Saccharomyces cerevisiae S288C: one gene and its partner. The protein of the gene in region 1 interacts with the protein of each later gene in a biochemical or structural test. Each region holds a gene or a part of one and is shown on either strand. Other genes may lie near its edges. The genes, in order: TIM9 and MIA40.

What was found.
Region 2: the proteins of TIM9 (region 1) and MIA40 form a complex in vitro, tested with the Saccharomyces cerevisiae proteins (4 studies listed by BioGRID).

The regions. Positions count from the first base shown.
Region 1 is NC_001137.3:115,094-118,139, forward strand, and holds TIM9 (protein transporter TIM9), read left to right. Parts: upstream 1-2,117; coding exon 2,118-2,381; downstream 2,382-3,046. Other genes in the region: Arf family guanine nucleotide exchange factor GEA2, read left to right, coding at 1-707; URA3 (orotidine-5'-phosphate decarboxylase), read left to right, coding at 1,074-1,877. UniProt on the Saccharomyces cerevisiae protein: Mitochondrial intermembrane chaperone that participates in the import and insertion of multi-pass transmembrane proteins into the mitochondrial inner membrane.
Region 2 is NC_001143.9:73,613-77,583, forward strand, and holds MIA40 (Mia40p), read left to right. Parts: upstream 1-2,208; coding exon 2,209-3,420; downstream 3,421-3,971. Other genes in the region: PEX1 (AAA family ATPase peroxin 1), read right to left, coding at 1-253; palmitoyltransferase YKT6, read right to left, coding at 1,320-1,922; threonine--tRNA ligase MST1, read right to left, coding at 3,646-3,971. UniProt on the Saccharomyces cerevisiae protein: Required for the import and folding of small cysteine-containing proteins (small Tim) in the mitochondrial intermembrane space (IMS). Forms a redox cycle with ERV1 that involves a disulfide relay system.

The DNA of each region.
Region 1 (3,046 bases):
TAGATGAAATTTCATCAATGGGTGCCGTTGGAAATCACTGGGAAATAGAATACAAGAAATTGACAGAAAGTGGTCATAAAATTGATAAGGAGAATCCATACAAGAAATCGATCGAATTATCATTGAAATCCATTCAACTAACATCACACTTGCTGGAAGATAATAACGATCTGCGTAAAAACGAGATATTCGCTATTATTCAAGCTTTGGCACATCAATGCATCAATCCGTGTAAGCAGATAAGTGAATTTGCAGTGGTAACGCTAGAGCAGACGCTCATCAATAAAATCGAAATTCCAACTAATGAGATGGAATCGGTAGAAGAATTAATTGAGGGCGGATTACTACCGTTGCTAAATTCGAGTGAAACACAGGAAGACCAGAAAATCCTCATTTCATCCATATTAACAATAATTTCAAATGTTTATTTGCATTATTTGAAACTAGGGAAGACAAGCAACGAAACGTTTTTGAAAATTTTGAGTATTTTCAATAAATTTGTAGAGGACTCAGATATTGAAAAAAAGCTACAGCAATTAATACTTGATAAGAAGAGTATTGAGAAGGGCAACGGTTCATCATCTCATGGATCTGCACATGAACAAACACCAGAGTCAAACGACGTTGAAATTGAGGCTACTGCGCCAATTGATGACAATACAGACGATGATAACAAACCGAAGTTATCTGATGTAGAAAAGGATTAAAGATGCTAAGAGATAGTGATGATATTTCATAAATAATGTAATTCTATATATGTTAATTACCTTTTTTGCGAGGCATATTTATGGTGAAGGATAAGTTTTGACCATCAAAGAAGGTTAATGTGGCTGTGGTTTCAGGGTCCATAAAGCTTTTCAATTCATCTTTTTTTTTTTTGTTCTTTTTTTTGATTCCGGTTTCTTTGAAATTTTTTTGATTCGGTAATCTCCGAGCAGAAGGAAGAACGAAGGAAGGAGCACAGACTTAGATTGGTATATATACGCATATGTGGTGTTGAAGAAACATGAAATTGCCCAGTATTCTTAACCCAACTGCACAGAACAAAAACCTGCAGGAAACGAAGATAAATCATGTCGAAAGCTACATATAAGGAACGTGCTGCTACTCATCCTAGTCCTGTTGCTGCCAAGCTATTTAATATCATGCACGAAAAGCAAACAAACTTGTGTGCTTCATTGGATGTTCGTACCACCAAGGAATTACTGGAGTTAGTTGAAGCATTAGGTCCCAAAATTTGTTTACTAAAAACACATGTGGATATCTTGACTGATTTTTCCATGGAGGGCACAGTTAAGCCGCTAAAGGCATTATCCGCCAAGTACAATTTTTTACTCTTCGAAGACAGAAAATTTGCTGACATTGGTAATACAGTCAAATTGCAGTACTCTGCGGGTGTATACAGAATAGCAGAATGGGCAGACATTACGAATGCACACGGTGTGGTGGGCCCAGGTATTGTTAGCGGTTTGAAGCAGGCGGCGGAAGAAGTAACAAAGGAACCTAGAGGCCTTTTGATGTTAGCAGAATTGTCATGCAAGGGCTCCCTAGCTACTGGAGAATATACTAAGGGTACTGTTGACATTGCGAAGAGCGACAAAGATTTTGTTATCGGCTTTATTGCTCAAAGAGACATGGGTGGAAGAGATGAAGGTTACGATTGGTTGATTATGACACCCGGTGTGGGTTTAGATGACAAGGGAGACGCATTGGGTCAACAGTATAGAACCGTGGATGATGTGGTCTCTACAGGATCTGACATTATTATTGTTGGAAGAGGACTATTTGCAAAGGGAAGGGATGCTAAGGTAGAGGGTGAACGTTACAGAAAAGCAGGCTGGGAAGCATATTTGAGAAGATGCGGCCAGCAAAACTAAAAAACTGTATTATAAGTAAATGCATGTATACTAAACTCACAAATTAGAGCTTCAATTTAATTATATCAGTTATTACCCGGGAATCTCGGTCGTAATGATTTCTATAATGACGAAAAAAAAAAAATTGGAAAGAAAAAGCTTCATGGCCTTTATAAAAAGGAACTATCCAATACCTCGCCAGAACCAAGTAACAGTATTTTACGGGGCACAAATCAAGAACAATAAGACAGGACTGTAAAGATGGACGCATTGAACTCCAAAGAACAACAAGAGTTCCAAAAAGTAGTGGAACAAAAGCAAATGAAGGATTTCATGCGTTTGTACTCTAATCTGGTAGAAAGATGTTTCACAGACTGTGTCAATGACTTCACAACATCAAAGCTAACCAATAAGGAACAAACATGCATCATGAAGTGCTCAGAAAAGTTCTTGAAGCATAGCGAACGTGTAGGGCAGCGTTTCCAAGAACAAAACGCTGCCTTGGGACAAGGCTTGGGCCGATAAGGTGTACTGGCGTATATATATCTAATTATGTATCTCTGGTGTAGCCCATTTTTAGCATGTAAATATAAAGAGAAACCATATCTAATCTAACCAAATCCAAACAAAATTCAATAGTTACTATCGCTTTTTTCTTTCTGTATCGCAAATAAGTGAAAATTAAAAAAGAAAGATTAAATTGGAAGTTGGATATGGGCTGGAACAGCAGCAGTAATCGGTATCGGGTTCGCCACTAATGACGTCCTACGATTGCACTCAACAGACCTTGACGCTCACGCCGTAGCGGGCGACAAGTCAAACGGAACAACCGTTGCCGTTCCCATCGGAGTCCGACCTAGGCCGAACTCCGTGAATTTCTGATAACAACGGTCGGTAAAGACTGGTTCCCCAGTATATTTCTTCTCTCAGGAGCAGGGGCCAATGCCAAAAGCGACATTAACCCGGAGGACAAGGCTCCACTGTGTTCCACCGAATTTCCCACCTGATAATATCTGATAACCCGCCCATAGGTGGGGATCCTTCTGTAAACAGGTTTCTTAATCGTAGGAATTACCACTGTTCCACTGCCAATCGCAGCTCCCAGAGTTTCGTTCCCAGCCGCGAGCACCACAGCGTACCATGTGCGCCACGAGGCCTCAAACGTAAAACAATCGAAACGAAAAGAAACA
Region 2 (3,971 bases), on another chromosome or scaffold:
ATACTGTGGCCAAAACAGGATTGATAAGAACAACATTCTCACTCGATCCAGAATCATGGCCATCCCATCCAAGATGAACAATAGGTATATCTGAATTATGAGAATGGACTGCTATACCGAATTCCTGGATAGCGTAGTTGGTTGACTCTAACACGTTTATAATTGAATGCGGTAACCTTAAAAAGTTTCCTACTATGGCATTGGAGAATTGGATTCTCAGATTCTCAAACTTCAACCTCTTGGTCGTCGTCATTTGAAAGAGCAGTTCCTCAGGTGTTTCTTGTTACTGCCGTCCCTTCCAGAAGAAATTCGACGATGACAATAGTCGGAGAGATATTCCGGACCTTTATAATTGCGGCTACGCACAAGAATAAATCGCGATAGTAATCGGATATAAGACAATAAAGTCCAGCTAACTTGGTTGGAGAATTCGACAGATTACCATGAATATAGAAATCGATGTTTTTTTTTGTCCACGCCGATTGATCAGCCATTTTTTTTTATCAGGGTCGCAACTGCCCTGTGCAAATAAGAAAGCCTGAAATGGTTGCACAAAGACCACAAACAAGGGCATACGCCAGTACAGTATTATGGACTCATGCCATCGAGGTTACATAGAATTAGTTTAAACAAAAACCAACTATCCTCTAATATCCATGGTACGAGTATATATAATTGTATGAAGTGTAAGAATATGATATAAATAATGAGAGCACTCATAGAGAGTAACGGCGCTGAATTGTAAGAACTGTCACGTAGTAACACAATCACTGAAAGCATATAAAGTGAAATGAGAAACGGTAGTAATATCATATGCATTACCAATTCCTTTTAGTGAATTTCCATGTGCCCGAGGGGGGACTTCCAGTATATTCTGTTACATTTAAGTAAATACTTCATCAACAAATAGGGCCCAGCGGTTTCTTACACTAATTATACATTTACAACGTAAATGCTCCAGCTCAAGCATTATTTATATATCTTGTTTTCAAAAGAAAAATATAGCAATTAGACTCCATGGCCAAGTTGGTTAAGGCGTGCGACTGTTAATCGCAAGATCGTGAGTTCAACCCTCACTGGGGTCGCTTATTTTTAACTTTTTTACACTGAAGAAACAAATCAATTCTAATACAATGCCAATGGCTTCAAATCAACCTTTGGTTATAATAGTTAGGAGAATCGATGCTTACATAGTATATTATTTAAACAATTAATTTGATTTAAAAGATTTTTGTTTCCCTTGCTGCTGTCATTGGCTTTCTAAATTACATAAAGCAGATGAAAAGCCACACTATGCTGAAAATAGTGTGTGGATGCATCTACATGATGATGCAACACGAATTGGATTTTTTAGCTTGCTTATAAAACATTTTGGAACTTGCCGTTAATGACTCCGATTTGTCCACCAAATTATCCAACTTTTCACCTCTTTGTAAAACATTCTCAATCGTTTTGTGCAAAACGATTTTCGTCTCATCCAGTTCTTGTTGAACTTTCATGATAGCGTCAGCCTGTGAAGGATCTTGATATTTGCTAATGTAAGTGTCCAGTTGCTTCATTTTCAATGCATCATTGGTCTCAGTCACATCTGCCCACTCTTCCTTAGGATGTGCGACTAAATATTCATCCAATATTTTGTTTAATAGTGTGTATGCTGGTCTGACAGGATATTCTTTGTCGGTGATCAAAACACCACATATGCCCTCACTCCTGGCATAAACGTGGCCAATATAGTTGCCTTCTTCTATACTTTGTCTTTGTCCTGCACCAGTTCTAGAAGCGACCGTTTCAGCAAAAAAAGTCATAAACTGGCCAACACTAGACCTTTCAAAGAAACCAAATTGTGACAAGTCTTTAACTTCACTCAACTCTAGAGCCTTTTCTCCTCCAGAGCGAAATACACCGATGTAGTAGATTCTCATTGCCAAAATAACTTCTCTAGTGATACGTAAAGCTTCAGAAATGCCCTAGCCTGGTCTAACGCAGTCAAACTGTGCCAGAGACTTTTGTATATTGTTCATGTTGATATCTATTGTGCTTGCTCTTGATTTCACACCAAGCCAATCGTTCTGTACGGCACGCCACCCAATAAGAAAAAAAGGGAAAAGGAGCCGAATTTTGGTTTAAAAACATATAATGCTGAAATTGTGGAACACCAATTACCAACTGGAAGTAGGCTCGATCCAAAGAGTGTATATTATCAGTAAAATGCTTCGCAACTTAGTCGTCAGGAATGCGTGCAGAAACAGGCCGTCAATTCAAGTGGCAAGGGGGTTATGCCGACACCAAACAAGACGTCTCATGGCGTCCTCCCCTCAGTTCGGTAGGAACTCCAATCAGGAAAAAACAGCGGGCTTTATAATGGGGATTCTTTCTATGGCTGGTGCTTTATATTTTATTGCTCCTAATAGGAAGCCTCTTTTCGCCTCAAGGAAGGTAGAATCCGATAAAACCGCAGAGGAAGAGCTTTCCAGTGGTGGTGAGCAATCACCAGAAAATGAAGATGACAACAACAGCAAAAGCGATGAAAATGGAGATGACAACGACAGCAAAAACGATGAAACTGAAGCTGGCCCTCAATTAGGGGGTGATAAAATTGGTGCTTCAAAAGTAGCTGAAGATGGTGAATTGGTTGTTCTAGCAGAAGAAGACAACAAGTCTTCCGAAGATAAAGATACTGATGAATCAAAGGTATCAACCAAAGATGATGAGCAATCCAATGAAGACAATGCCACCGCTAACAATCAAAAGGATGAAAACATAAGTTCTGAGAACTCGGAAGAAAATACTAGTGACAAAACACTAGACAACAATGCTGGATCTTCTGAAAAAAAAGATCCAGAACATTCAGATGATGAAAAATCGCAACAGGGACAATCTGATGACAAGACAACTACTGAAGATAATAATGGAGAAGAAGAATCCTCAAAAAAAACTGTAAGTGACTCGGAAAATTCAGCTAAGCAATCTGAATCTAGCGATGAAGAGAAAGAAGAACTAAGAAAACAAGAGGAAAAGCAAATGGGTCCTACTGAAGAAGAGGTTCAACACGAAGGTGCTTATAACCCAGACACTGGTGAGATAAATTGGGACTGTCCTTGCTTGGGAGGTATGGCCCATGGACCCTGTGGTGAAGAGTTCAAATCTGCATTTTCTTGCTTCGTCTATTCTGAAGCTGAACCAAAAGGTATCGACTGTGTTGAAAAGTTTCAACATATGCAAGACTGTTTCAGAAAATACCCCGAGCATTATGCAGAACAACTAAAGGAAACATCTGATGATGAGGAACCTCAAGACAAAGTAAAGGTCAACACAATAGAATCAGCGCCAAATGTTTCAAGCGCAAAGGAAAATGCTGCGAAAAAAGCAGAGCAATCAGATGTGAAAAAAGAACCATTGAATGAGGAATCCAAACCTTAAAATCTCCTGAAAATCTCCCGAACGTAAAAAGTATAAAAGTATAAAGGATGATACATGTAAATACAGTAATATTATCTTAGTTTAATGACTACATATGGTATAATATGTGAAATATACATGAATTAATGCATCTGTGGGGCGGATGAGTCTAGTCTCTGTATGAATCCAGCTATACATCAAATCGTATCCTTTTATTTACAGGGCAAGTTTGTCATATATTTTAAGTTACTTGTAGTTTTTTTCCAGCTCAATAAATTTTTCCCAAATTTGAGACATTGTAAGTTTCTCGAAACTCTTTCTATTATCACGTTCTCGAATGTTGTATTTCTGTAACTGTACTTCCTCATCACCCACGATAATTAAATAGGAATAGTTTTTCAAAATGGCCGACTTGATCCTATACCCTACGGGTTCGTTTCTTATGTCGAGATCAACATTGAAATGCCAATCATTTAAAGGAACTGGTTCCATGTCGTCGGCTTCCAGTTCATTACGTAGTTTTTTCTGCAAGGCAGTGCACATGTCTAGCTGTTGCACATTTTTCGTATTGA